Linked DNA regions of Arabidopsis thaliana. The protein of the gene in region 2 interacts with the protein of the main gene of each other region in a biochemical or structural test. Each region holds a gene or a part of one and is shown on either strand. Other genes may lie near its edges.

Evidence for each region.
Region 1: the proteins of HAM4 (region 2) and WOX4 form a complex in vitro, tested with the Arabidopsis thaliana proteins (one study listed by BioGRID).

Annotation. Positions count from the first base shown.
Region 1 is NC_003070.9:17,234,254-17,241,715, reverse strand, and holds WOX4 (WUSCHEL related homeobox 4), read left to right. Parts: upstream 1-3,530; 5' UTR 3,531-3,762; coding exon 3,763-4,005; intron 4,006-4,224; coding exon 4,225-4,542; coding exon of another isoform or gene 4,543-4,554; exon of another isoform or gene 4,555-4,618; coding exon 4,619-4,813; 3' UTR 4,814-5,192; downstream 5,193-7,462. UniProt on the Arabidopsis thaliana protein: Promotes differentiation and/or maintenance of the vascular procambium, the initial cells of the developing vasculature.
Region 2 is NC_003075.7:17,302,001-17,309,750, reverse strand, and holds HAM4 (GRAS family transcription factor), read right to left. Parts: upstream 3,994-7,750; 5' UTR 3,692-3,993; coding exon 2,231-3,691; 3' UTR 2,103-2,230; downstream 1-2,102. Other genes in the region: HVA22K (HVA22-like protein K), read right to left, coding at 83-180, 281-353, 435-530, 636-699, 861-912, 1,065-1,162, 1,576-1,634, 1,920-1,982.

The DNA.
Region 1 (7,462 bases), on a different chromosome or scaffold from region 2:
AAGTTTGATGTTTTAGTGTTTTAGGGTTGTTTCACAAAGACTGATTTTTTAGATTTGTTTTTTCTTTTTTGCTAATTGATATCAATAAATGATAGATTTCAAGAGATGATAATTGCAAATAATTGTAGTTCCGTTATTTTGTTTCATAATATAAGATATTTAGGACAAGAAACTCAAGTTTTTATGTAAATAAATTTATATATTTTTGTGACTATTTATATTCCGCAATAAAATATTTTATTGGTCAAATTCTCTTTAACTAAATATTGAATTCTGTTTTTAATGTAGAAATAAAAATTAGTATCTTAAACTTTGTGTTTTTAGCCAAAATATTATATATATATATATATTGAGAAAAGGGAGTAACTGTTTTAAATTACTATTGGCTCATAGTTTATTAAAAATAATATCTAATAGAAAAAAATTATCAAACAATTAAATAATGATTGTTTCTTTCTATCTCACAAAAATGATTTTTTTTAGAAATTTTACATTCTTTAAGAAATAATGTATAATGACAATGTTAACTTCTTAATATATTATAAAATTAATAATAAATATTTATTTAATAAGGGTAAAATAGGTGAACAGTTCTTAAATTTACATTGGAAACATAAAATTTCTATTTTTATAGGACAAATTTTTTTTAATGGAAAATTCATCTTTGTGTGACGGAGGGAATATATGTGTAAACTCTAGAAAATCAATTTTCTAGGAATAGAAGGAGTACTACTTATTATGAGACCTAAGGAATATATGATATGTCCCACTTTTAGTTGTTTGGAGTCTCATTTTGTATGTTTTAATCATTTTATCATTTGGTTCATTTGGTTTTGGGAGCGGATTAAAACGTAGAAACTACGGTTTCACAAACAACTTATTTAATTTTAAGTAAAGAGAAAATAACTCCTTTTCTTGAAATCTTGATAAAAAAAACAATCAATTGCAATGGTTTATGTTCCTTGAATAAGAAGTTAGAGTTTGTTCAAAAACAAACAAAACCTAAGGCAAACCTTTGTTCGGTTCTCGATCAGTCGATTTATATGAATGGATTTCTATTCAACATATGTTCTCTTTTCTTATTTTTCGGCCTTGAATCTCTTATTTTTCTATTTTTTCGGGTCCTCAAGATTATCCACCTAGATGTGTCTCACTCTTTTCATTTCCCTATTGCAGGTCAACGACGTTTTATTTAAGCTTTTTCCCATAGACCGATTACCCATTTATCAGAATTACTTGGATTAATGGAATTATTCTCGATTTAAGTCGAATTTTTCGAAGGGTGCTACATATCTCATCAACAAACAATACAAATCAAAGGAAGGAAGAAGAGCTAAAGAGCTAAAAAAAAGATGAGGAGGAGATCGAAGTAAACAAATTGGAAGAAAAAGAGATCCAACAATGATTGGTTGTGAACATGTTATGCTAGTTTATTTCAAATTTTGAAACCCTAAACCTCAAACCATCAGTAATCTGTCATTACCGACATAGTATTACATATGGATCGAAAAATAAACATGTTAAATATGTGTCCTAAAAAAATACATATGAACAGTGGTAGAGGCAAGTGTAGTGGAGGAGGGTCACTGCATATGAATATCGACGATATAGTATGGGCCATAGATAATTGAAGAAATAACCATCTGATCACAGCTTGACACACGAATCAGGTTATCCATCGTGTGATGACATTTTTCAAAAAATATGAATGGTATTACCAGTTTCTTGTTATGCTTTGGGTTCAGTAAAGTTCCACTCATTTTCCAGTATCTGATGAATGATAGAGCAGTCTTTTTAGAACTTTGAGCTTTCATATTCCTTCCGTCCAACAAAGATGAATTTTCTATGGAAAAAAATTGTCCCACAAAGATACAAATTTTGTATTTTTAATATAAATTTTAAAATTGTTTACCTGTTTTATCCTAAGTAAATAAGTAGATAAATATTTTTTATTATTTTTAAAATATATTAAAAGGTTAAAATTGTCAGTATACATTATTTTTTAAAAATGTGAAATTTCTATAAAAAAATCCATCTTCATAGGATAAAGATGTTATTAATTTTAGCTATTAGTCATGATCAACCTACACTGGTACTTCTATATTTCCTCCATGATATCAATTTTTATGTTTTAACCAGTGATATGAACTGTGACTTTCCACCTTCATAACTTTGATATCCATATATATTAGTGTAAGTTTCGTACTGTACATATACTTGCATCATAACTGGATTAGCCGAGACTAAATAATTTTGACTATTCTTCACAGTTCATACTCAAGGTCTCTGTTCTTTGTAATTCTAGACTACATATCAAATAAAAAGATGATGATATATTAGTCAAAACTCAAAAGTAATTAGAAGAAAAAACTTTGTAATTCCGGAATATCATACGTTACTACTTTTCATTAGTAAAATACCCAAATTACTTGGGAAATTGAGGTTCTGCAGTTCCCGATGTACAAGAGAATAACAATACAATACACTGATCTAAAGTGAATGGGACGCTTGACATTGCCAAACCAAACCATGCTTTTGTATCAATATCTAATAAACATATAAGCTTAAATTTATAATGATGTATTATTATCAAAATAAACAATGATAATATAACATTAAGATATTTCTAGCCTTTTCTTTTCCGCATAAAAGTCTGTCCTGGCTCATTATAAACTACCACTAATTTAGGCAAAATCCGTATCTTAACAAAAGTAATAAAAGCAATTTCGAGTATTGGGATTGGAAGATACCTTTTCCCCTTATTCATTCTTCTTCTCATTCTTCTTTTCTCTAAATAAAGTAGTTGAGACTTGAGAGCCACCGAAAAGCATTCGACATCCTATCATTAAAGCTAACTTTTTTCAGTGTTTTATTTCTAAAATAATTTCTTAAAATAAAGAAAGGTGAGAGAGAAATTATGTCCCTATACAACTAGTAGAATGAAAGATTGTCAAGCTTTGGTTTGGGATTTTTCTAATAAATCACATGCATTTGTTAGAATTTGATCCCAAAAAAAAAAAATTCAAACCTTTTTCCTGTAAAAGCAAACCTATTGGCTCGTAGGTCAATGTCAATCTCAATGAATAGTAAAGTCTTTTGATATCACGTATCTATAACATATTATTTTTAGCGTGGTTCATGTCCCTCAACATTCTGCCTAAATTATAGGATCTCAAGACATAGTACTATAGACTACAACTACAAGTAGAGGAAAATTTTATAAGAGAGATAAATTATGCGGTATTCACGCATGACATGCGTAAGCATGAAACTAAAATTTGGTTGATACATTACTATGCCGAATTTAAAGTAGTGCTCCATGCAGACATGAACATATCAGATATCACACGTACGCATGTATTACGTGTATGTAGAGACACACGTACGCATATCTATATTCACACAATGAGATTTCACTTTCTCAAACAAAGATCACTGTCTTCAATTAGTTTCAAATTTGTTCTTTACCTATTGCTTTTACATTTCTGAGTGTATATATTTACAATAAGGACAAGGAGATTTTAAATGATAAAAGTCAACCATATCCCATCATTTGGTCTTTGGTTTCCCGACGTCCCACTTTTGTAAAAATCATCTGTTCATTTTCCATTCTTTTTCTTTTTCCTACCCAACTGGATATCACCAATGATATCATTATACACTAACACTATCATTTCACACTTATCTTCCTCTATATATACATAGCTTAAGTCTTGTAACGAGAAAGGCATGCATAGCATTTGCTAGTTTTAACATATAGCAATGAAGGTTCATGAGTTTTCGAATGGGTTTTCTTCATCGTGGGATCAACATGACTCGACATCATCCCTTAGCCTAAGCTGCAAACGCCTCCGTCCTCTCGCCCCTAAGCTCTCCGGCAGCCCTCCCTCCCCTCCTTCTTCTTCCTCCGGCGTCACTTCAGCCACTTTTGACCTTAAAAACTTCATTAGACCCGATCAAACCGGTCCGACAAAATTTGAACACAAACGAGACCCTCCTCATCAAGTCAGTTCCATTATTGTACTTCGTACATTTTACATCGTTTCTTTCGTTTGAAAAAAGAAGAAGAATTCACTCTAGAAGAATTTTGATAATTGCGGCATACCTAATACTTTGACATTTATAAATTATAACGACTGGAGTGGTTCCTTTTATTATTAATTTTATTTATTTATTTTAATGTATGATTCCTAACAAATGTAATGAAATAATGTGTGGGTTCAGTTGGAGACGCACCCGGGAGGGACAAGGTGGAACCCGACTCAAGAACAGATAGGGATACTTGAGATGTTGTACAAAGGTGGAATGCGTACTCCTAATGCTCAACAGATTGAGCATATCACATTGCAACTCGGTAAGTACGGGAAAATCGAAGGGAAAAATGTGTTCTATTGGTTCCAGAACCACAAAGCCCGCGAGAGACAGAAGCAGAAGAGGAACAACCTCATCAGCCTAAGTTGCCAAAGCAGCTTCACGACCACTGGTGTCTTTAATCCGAGTGTAACTATGAAGACAAGAACATCATCGTCACTAGACATTATGGTAGGAATTTAAGGATTTTGTATAGTTTTGTGGTTTTGATCAACTATATTTAAGGATAATTTTTATGATTGTGTAGAGAGAACCAATGGTGGAGAAGGAGGAGTTAGTGGAAGAGAATGAGTACAAGAGGACATGTAGGAGCTGGGGATTTGAGAACTTGGAGATAGAGAACAGGAGAAACAAAAATAGTAGTACTATGGCAACTACTTTTAATAAAATCATTGACAATGTAACCCTCGAGCTTTTTCCTCTCCATCCTGAAGGGAGATGAAGTCATGAAGGTGAGGCAGAAAATTGTGGAATTCTTATGTAGATCTGGTTTAGGTTCAGAGGAATCAATTGGTATCTAGAAATTCAAAATAAAAATAAAAATAGGAATAAGTCTCTAAAACTACAAAATCTACTTAAGAATTCCCTTATTAATCTGCGAGTTTGATGTATCCTATGTAGATTATTTTTGCGATGTAATCTTAATTATGAATGCTCAGTTTAGCTCATCTTTTTTTCGCGTTTATTCTTGACAAATTCACTAGTGATCAGTTGTACTCTCTTCTGATTTGGCCATCTAAGTATTTCTCTAGATCGTTGGTATGTAGGAATGTTTCATTTAGAGAAATTTCTGAATAAAGACACATTTGATGTTGTTAAAATAATATCTCTGTCTTAATTCCTACGTACGTACAAGAGCAAGAAGTTAAAAGGAAATAATAATAGCATTTCCCGTTGAAAAGGGGGTAGACCTAGTATATTTCTATATAAACAAACATTGAAATCTAAAACTTTTTGTACTGTTATATACTTATATTAAAACTCTTAGTAAAACAGGTGACTCAATAATATTTATATTAATTTTTTATTTTTGATAAATATATACTAAATAAGTTTATGAGATGATAACAAGAAGAATCTTTTCAAGAATTTGATATTTCCAATGGAATGTGTACAAAGACATCAATATATGTAAGCTGTGGTGTGTATGTGGTTAGTTGTTTGTCTGATGCTTTATTGACTCTCGCAAGTGGTTGTTTTGTATTTTGGTTGAAACAAAGAGAGAGTTTTGCTTTTTAGGTTAAAAGTTGAAATGGCATTATATGAGACACACTCACTGAAGTCCATGCACTCGCTTTCCCGCTACATTGCATGCTAGCTAGCTGTTTCTATACATACGCAGATATATGTAGCTCTTCTATATTTTCGCACTTAATTATTGTAAGTGACATTCTTCTTTTCATTTTGGTTATATGCCGATAATTTTGTTTTATTTTCTGATAGCTAACTTCTACTTGGTTGTTAATTATATACCAATTTTCCTTCTTTTTTTCTTTTAAATGTTGATGCAACGTAAAACAAAACTGTATATTTCTACAGTGATTTTAAATAAACGCTAAACTTAAAATAATCTTTTTTGGTAAAGGGTTTAAGATAAATTATAACTTTGTTGGACATCAATTAAACATATATAGAAGTACTCTAAGTTTCTTTATGTTTAGATTATGATTTCTAATTGAAACAAACACATTTCCAGCTAAGTTTATCTTTAATAACCAAACTACCTAATATTTTAAGTCTATCTTTACCGGTAATCATATTCTCAAATGATTATTTGCCATGCATTATGAATTGGTTGCCCGTGGGCGTGGGGCATGGCGTTCCATTACTTATAATCTTGGAGGGAAGCAAGATTGAAATTTAGAAATAAAGAACTTTATTCAATTGGTAATGGGACCATGACTATTTTTTCAATAATTCAATGTTTCTTGGTTTTCACGTGTACATATATATAAGTCCAAAATAATTTCAAACACATAGTATTCAAATAGTATTAGGCCTATCGAAACCGGTTTTGGCCAGGCCGGTCAGCTTGCTACATGTATGGGTTAGCAAACAACGGGCTTCGTGGGCTCTACGACGGCAATGTGTTGGAATTGTATCCTTGATTGAATCTGAAAAAGAAGAAGAAGAATCCATGAGAAGAAGAAGATGAAGAACAGAGGAAGAAGAAGATGATGTCGTGAAGAGAAGAGTCAAAGGAAGAGAAGAAAGTCAACAAACATATGGGCTTTGTGTTTTGTAATATGGTTGTAATGGGCTGAAGATGAATTAGGCCCAAGTATGTTTAGTTAAAGAGTGTTGTGTTGTAAGTCTAAGTTAGAGTAGAAGAGTGAATCAAGGAGTGAGAGTTCCAATGTATGTAGAAGTAGGTCTTGTGTAAGAGCCATCATTAGGTCTAAGTGCAAGTGTGCAAGTGTGTGTGTGTCTCAAGTAGAAGTAGTTTATGTATGTGTGTCCTTGTGTTGTGTAAGAGTAACCAAGTAATTAACAATGTAGTCTTTGGAGGAAAACGCTTTTGTGTCTCTCTAGAACAAAGAATAAAATCTGTGTGAGAGACAAGAGAGCAAGAGATCTAACTAAAGTGGTTAGATATGTGAGAATTACAACACAATGTCATATATGTATACATCAGAATATTAAACCTACAAAACAAAAGTAGCTCTGGAAATCTCAATAATGTAGTCTCTTAGAAGGATCCACAAAGGCCACAGAGAAGAAAACATAATGCTTAATAACAAAGATGAACAATGTGGATTTTGCCAGAATATTTATGGCTGTGAGCTTGTTTCTTCAAGAAGTCTCTACCTTTTAACTTCTCAAAAATCAAGTTTCTTAAACAAGTCTTCAATGCTGAGGATGTCACAGAAGAAGTCTTCAACAAACCTGTAGCCATGTTTTGATCACAGAAGAATCAGTACTTATATGTTTCTAATTGATACAAGATTCTTCTCCAGCAAAACCCTGATTTCTTCTTCCAAATCTCACTTGTTCTTCTTTCAGAATCTTCCATACGAATCTTTGATTCTGTTGTAATTCTCACAATCTCTCTATTTCTCACACTCCTTTACGGTTTCATTGTCTTTAGAGA
Region 2 (7,750 bases):
AATCGTTTGACATTTTTGTGTAATAGAGATTTGACCTACAAGACTGTAGAAGCTGCAAAAGCTACGATTACACTTTGTTTTATTAGTCTTCGTGATTGGAATCGGATTCTGAATCCGAGTTTGTTTCTGAAACGGGGCTACCATTTGCTATTTCTCCTAGTCGTGGTGCATCCTCGTTGACTGTTGGAACAACACAGCAAGTACAAATAAAATAGTCAGTTCAATACCCTGATAGCAAAGTATTACACTAAAGATAGAAAATTAGAGTTCCGAAACAAACCTGATCCCAAGATTTTGGCAATCATTGCTCGGACAAACCGTATTTCTCCTTGGTGTGACCTAACGACCTTCACCTGCAGTTTTTTGTTTTGTTTTAAAGCGTTAGTTAAAAGTGACTGAAGAATAAGGGAGTTCAAAAGAAAGCAATCGTGTACCATTTCCCCATATACACCATCCACAAGTTGGTCCACTCTAGCTTGGTGTCGTAAGAGGAAAGGACGGATCTGGTTGTTGTATATCTGTTTTGATCCCTGTTGTCGGCAAATAAGAATATAGAGAATATCAGAACTGATGAGTACCACGGGTTAAAGCTGCCTACTCGTTAGATGATGGTTTAAAGAGATTCCGATAGGTACCTCAACAGTTGGGAGTTGAAGCCAGACGAGGAACGCAAACTTCACATGATAGTACAGCGGGAACCTGCAAATAATCGAGGTTATTGAGTATCAATACTTTGCGAGTTTATCGAGATAATCAAGCCATTTCTCTCGATAAAGTCCATTAGAAGAAATATCTTATTTGTCTAACATAACAGCAAAACCATCAAGATATTGTATATAGTTTCAAGATGTCAATCATACCAGGAAATGATCTTGTCCGTGAACACTTCAACAAGGCTGAAAGAACCATAAGCTGCAAAGAAGGTGAAGATAGAGAAAAAACCCCATCAAATTCCATGTGAAAGAAGGCCAAGGGAGATTGAAAAAAAACTATTGAAGATAAACAGTCAAAGAATAAGGAAAGCAATTAGAAAGGTCATAACAATTGCAGTAACAATATCCCACCTGCCCAGTAAATAAGCATCTTTTGTTGTTCATTCTCATCTCCACTCTCAATTGCCTTGAAGGTAGAGTACACAGGCAAACCGATGCCAATGGAGCAGCTGCAGGAAACAAGTTTCAGACATACCACACAAACGTGTCCTTTATAACCGAATCCTTTAGTCAACTACAGCTATAACACCTTCTAATAGAGAAAATAACCAAAAACTCGGATAAAACAAAAAGAATCCAGATTCCCCAACAATAGATTGACCCTTGTCCAAAAGATACCCTAAAGTATCACAACAAGTAGAATAGAACCCTTGTCCACTCGGCTAAGTTAATAACTATGTCAACAAAAAAAAAAAAAAAAAAAAAAACTCCCTCCCTACCCCATTGCTTCACATGTAATGAGAATCACTCAATCAGATCACAATCTCACCAATCAAATCATTCCTCCAATTCATTCGTCTACCTGTACCATTGATTCTAGCAACTATATGGCTTTCTTCACCTTACAATAAAAAAAACTCACCATGCTGTACGAAGTACGATATTGGAACTAAGTGGAGAGAACAATACACGCAACCCAACCTGAAAATTCCATTGAGAAAAACAATTGTTTCTCTCAATCCAAAAGTTGAGAATATCCACATGATCAGGAATTGAAACACCTCTTTCTCTAATCGGCTTTTGTCAAAGAGTAATCCAAACAAAAAAACAATCCAGTACAGAAGAAATCTGAATTCCAACAAGGCAGAAGATGAAGGAATCCTAAATATACATATTTAATCATAAACTTTATCACGAATCCCCAAATCACGGATCGGAACAAAAGCCGTACAATCGGAAACATCAATCAAACTAAAGGAAGATTACCTCGCCGGTGAGTCCAGATCCAAGAAGCGCCATGGATGGAATCTGTGAAGCAAACCCGCTCATCGGCGATTCGTACGACGGTTTTACCAAATTGACGACGAACTCGCACACTCGCAAAAAAAAGGTCACTTGTGTTTTGAATAGAGGAGATTATGAATCATTAAAAGACTCTAGCTCATACAGAGACTCTTCGTAAGAAATATTTTTATTTCTTTATTTGAAAGATAAACAGCAAAAAGAAAAGAGATATTAAAGGCGGTAAATACAATTATTCTATTCTATATCATATTGTTAAACCAAACCCGGTTTATCTAAAACCGCCAAGCTGATGTGGCAACAAGTGCTCTTCCATGCCAGCACAGCACCAATTCTCCTTGTCGTTTCGCCACGTGGAATCCTCTAACTTGCGCTTTCTCCAATAAACACTCAGCTTGAAAGTCGGCGAACTGGCTTAGCTGTATCGGCCTCATCCCGGCGGCGCAAAACGCTTCCCGCCAAGTCATTTCGCCGGTGTGTCTCCTGTCAGCCGCCGTTTCTACCGCAGCGGAGATCTTCGGTCGTAGAACGAACGCTTCCACTATCTTCTTCACCAAATCTCCGGGAGGAGCTGCAGCGTCGAGCGACTCCAGCACCATCGTGTAGAACTCAAGAGCGCTAACAAACTCTCGCCGGAATGATCCAGATCCGGCGATCTCCGTCCATCCTTCACTATCCACGAATACAACGACCTTAGGTGATACTCTCCGTAAATTGTTAACAAAATCAGTGATTCCACTTAGACGACGAAATATCGCCGGGGAAATCAAAACGACGGTCCTCTCCCCCTCAACAAACCTAATCGCTTTGAAAGATAACATCTCAAAAGTCTTCATCAGCACAAACTCAATCTGGAAACGAATTTTCATCTCCGCCGCGAATTGAGTTAGGTTTTCTTTCACTAGTCGCGTCTCTACGGCGCACTCCTCCGCCACCACTGCCGTAACTCTTAAAAATCCACCGCTTACAGATTTCTCAGTGATTTCTCTCATAAGCGATGCGTATTGGCCACCGAATCCAATCTCAAAATCCACCACGTGAACAAACGGAGAAGACGACTGCGAGCTCAACGAATCGAGTATCGCTTGATTCGCCGTGAAATGAGAGAAGAGAGGGATCGGAGAAATCCCGGAATATTCCTTAATCGCTCGGATCCTCTGAACAATCTCGGACCAAGAAGATAACCGGATTGGATTCCGGTTTGATCCGGTTAAAAACGAACCGAGAGCTTCCTTAAAGTAAAACGCAGCTCTCTGTAACGGTCTACCCGCCGGAGATCTCAAGCGTTGATTAAGCCGTGATAAAACCACCTGAGCGAGTTGTAACTCGTCCGATTCAACACAATCCACGACTCGGATGAGATCTTCAATGAAATCAAATCCTCCATTGTCGACACTATCAAGAGAATTAAAACCGTACCCAGTTGTTTGGTTCTGACCAGGATAAACATCGGAAGACGATTCGAAATCCGACGGTTGAATCTGATCGGGAAAGCCAGGGAGATTTGAATCGACGGCGTAAAGAGGCAAAATAGTAGAATCTGTTGTGGTTGTGGTGAAACCGGTTTTAAGTGAGTTAGGAGCAGAATCGTCATCAAGCTCCAATTCTTTCATGATGGAATCCCAATCCATTGAACGCATGACATGTTCGTCCATTGATAAGTGATTACTATCAGTACTATTAGTGTTGTTGTTGTTGTTGGTCGTGTCTTGAGGAGATGATGCAGGGATTTTCATGTGTTGTGTGTTAAGAAGAAAGAAAGGTGGAGCCTTTAACGAAAAGAAAAAAAGTTTTTTTCTTTCTGTCTTTTTTCTTTGTGTGTGGGAGAAGAAGAAGGTGGCGGGGCTTTTGAAAGGTGAGAGTGGTAAGCTTTTTATCTTTGAGTGAGTGCGTGCAAATAAAGAGATTTCAACTTTGGTAACCGTGTCTGATCCGGGTTTGTTTGGTTTTACAGAATAATATTTATACACGAAACAATCTGATTGACAATGATTTGTATATGATTCCGTTTTTTATTAATAACATACTATTTCACATGAAATTCAACTGAAAGATTTTAAATCAGTTTTTATTTTGTATTAATTTCTCATAATATATCTCCAAAACTATATACTATGCACAACTAGCAACTTCTGTAGCTAATGAAAAGGAAACTTCTACAGCTCTTTAAAGGGATAAAATACAAATAAAGTTCCTCTGCTTTAAAAATAAAAATAAATCATTTGATTGAAAAGAGATCCAAGCTCCACTATGTTGATCATCAAGAATGTGAAAGTTGAAAATAAAAGAGAAAAAGGATGTTTTAAAAAGGTTAATGATTTCTCTCTTTTTTTTGTCTGAGTGGTTTTTTTTCAGTCTTTTTCATCCTAAAATTTTAAACAGTATTTTACAAAAACATTTAACTGAAAGTTTTTTTTTATTACATATGACAATTTAAGTGATCAAAAATAATCTTTCTCAAACATAGCAGCACGGCTATATGTAACTATGTTGTACCTGAGTTTGAGATCAGCGTTAAAATATTTCATATTTGTGGATATTGTTTTCGATCATTAAATCTCATACGTTTTTGACCCAAGTATGGAGATAAATAAAAAACTATGAATCTGCGTTGATTATTCCAATAGGCAATAGGTATATCAACGTTTGGAATTTTTTTTTAAAAGTAGTTTGTGTTGGACAAAAATATTCTTACTAAACAAACTCTACAACGTCGTTTTTATTCTCACTAAACCTAGTTGTTAGTACCACACAAAATACAATATTATGTATTTATTTAGTACCGTGCATATATCACATAATAATCTCAAACTAGTTACAAAAGCTAGAGAGGTTTATTCGATTGATAACCAATAAAAAAGGGGAAAATTGCATGAAACAATTTGAGTCGATGATGTTTAACGGACACTAATCCCCGCTGCTTGCGACAAAAAACAAAGGAAAGGAAAAAGGGAGTGACCACTGGGCTTTATGTGGAGCCCACATAACACGGTAAAAAGCAGGGGGAAAGTAAGCGGGTCCACAATGGGCTAACTTTTGAGGTAATAATGTCGGAGAAAATGACCGAGAAGCCCATGGGCCAGAGATTGACTGATCATTAAGTCAGCGCGTAAGAATCACGCCCACTTCTTTCTTTTGCTTAGCCCCCCACTCTTCTCTCTAACTCGCAAAGGAAAAAGAAAGAATATGTTCTCTCCTTCACTTATTGCTTTCATTTTCATGGAAATTTACCTTCCTTTTTTGTTTTCTTTCTTTTCTATTTGGTTTGGTGTACCAGAATGCAAAACCATTTCCTCAATCTTTTGAATATACTCTCTTTTTTTTTTCCTTGTGTAATTAGGAATGTTTGATCATATTAGGTTAATAACTCACCATTTTCGCAAAATATGGCCTAGTTTGCGAAATTTAAACATCATATAGTTCTCGTGAAGAAAAGCTTCTTCTCATTGAGACATTATTCAACCTTTAATATCGTGGAGAAAAGGTTCCTCTCATTAATACACCTTTTTCCTAACATAATTCAACTTTTTTTCTTACATAAGTCTTCATCTGTGTTATATAATTTAGATTTTATGCGGTATAGCGGCTCAATTAACACACTAAAATACTAAAAGTTCTTTTTGTGGCAACTTTTTTTAGTTGTTTCTCATTAAATTAATGATTAAGCCCACATTTCTGTTATGTTTTAAAAATTTAAGAGAAATAATCAAGTTTAATATTCCACCGTATGAACGCCTACATGCAATGGGATCCACTTGTATCCTAATCTCATGCTTAACAACTAGTTAGTTTATTTTCGAGGATCATACATAAAATACCATAATATTATAGTTTATATATGTGGAACATGCAAGAAAAATAATCAATGATTTATCGAACTGAAATCACTCGCCAAATTAGTTGCCTTTTTTTTGTTAGATTGAATTGCCAGTATTTTAAACAAATAATAAAATAATAATAATAATAATAAAATGCCAGTATTAGACCAATGTTTTCATTATGCTCAGAAATTATTTCGTCCACAGACCACCAAAATGTTACGTCTTGTTAGCTTGAAAATCATTACACTATCACTTTTGATTCTCGTTCATACAGCTAATTCCCTGAAAAAATGATGGCCCTATGTGTACAACTATTTTATTTAAATCCATCTGATATTGGGTAACGAACGTTTTAATTATATGCAATACAATTTATGAATGATAATTATTCTGCATATACACTAACGTCTCCAAATATGGCAATATCTTCCCTACACATGATTGGAGTTTGTCGAAAAAGAAAAGAATATTTCATAAATAATGTTGGTAATTAATACAAGTTCTATTTATTAACACACGTGATTGTATATTAAAAACAAATGAATGACGATCATATCTTATATTCCCACTCTGACAATATTCTTTTACTGATCGACCAATGGATCCTCTCGTTACCAAAATTGTCCCACTGCCAAAGGTTTCTTTCTTATTATTCGTTTCTGTGTTGGTAGTTTTATAATATGTATACCGTGATTTATACTAAGTATAATGTCTCATAAACTGTTTTTGATAAAGAAAATTTTAAGTTGTTGTGCTGACTGCTGAGAACCTGTGTAATAATATAATATCGCCAAAACATATTATTCAATTCTCATAAGTTGTTTTTAATTTGAAGGTTATGAATTTGTAAACTTTGTGTGTTTAGTATCCTGTGATTAAAATAAACCAAAATTAAAGACATGATTTGATTATCCAATCTTTTAGTTAACATGTCAAAATTCAACGTAAAATGGTGATATAGTGTTTTGTACAACTATCTGGTAGTAATATTTTTTCTTGATATAATAATTGTAATAAAATCTAAATTTTATAATAGAAAAAGAGACAGTTGTGTATTTTCTTGGGAGATAATTTCTCAAACCCCACTACACAAAAAGGTCATAATACTTAGGAAGTAAGGAAAGGAAGGAGAGGCCGATGATAGACTACACACAGACGCTTCTTCCTTCTAATCAAAAGAGAGAAGCTTCATCCTCACAAAAGCAATTTTTTTTAGTAGATTCCTATTTTATGTCATTCACAATAAATAAAATACTTAAATAGTAAAAATAAAAGATCGTTCTCCATTAAAATATCATTCCCACAAGAATGAAAAGTAGTAACGGAGAAATTGTTTTAACTTTTCATTGTTTATTTTTTTTTCTATAACTATCCGTATGCATACTACAAGAATTTAATCTAAATTTTGGATCGACTGATTGTAGCTATAAATTATTGAGTAAGTATTAAATTAGACCGTTGATATAAAAATATATAAGTATATATGTGTGTTATACTAAGTCGATCGATTGGTAAGTCTCGTAATGATTTAGTAAACATTATTCTATTTGGTGTAGATTTGTTTTTTTTTTTTTTTTTTTTTTGTCAAATGTAAATCATTTAATTTTAATTCAGTTACAATTTTCTAACTAAAATTTTGTTTATGTATTTTCGATACTGTGAATAAAGCTGGTGGTGTAAAAAATAATATTAGCGTAACATTAAATTTATAATTAAGTTAAACAAAAACATTAATATATAATGTACCGACAAAAATTGAAAGTGAAAATAAATGGAGGAGGATGTTCTATTTTGCAACTCATTGAGTAGTCACAACATGCGTTGGAAACTCTTCCCCGTCAAGAATATATTACTTTACACGTTTTTAAAATTATTAATTTACCCCCTTTTAATAATTGATTTTTAGTAAAATGATTGTTCGTGATAAAATATACTTTAAATTTTTGATGAATGGAATCATTCATTGTTTGATCG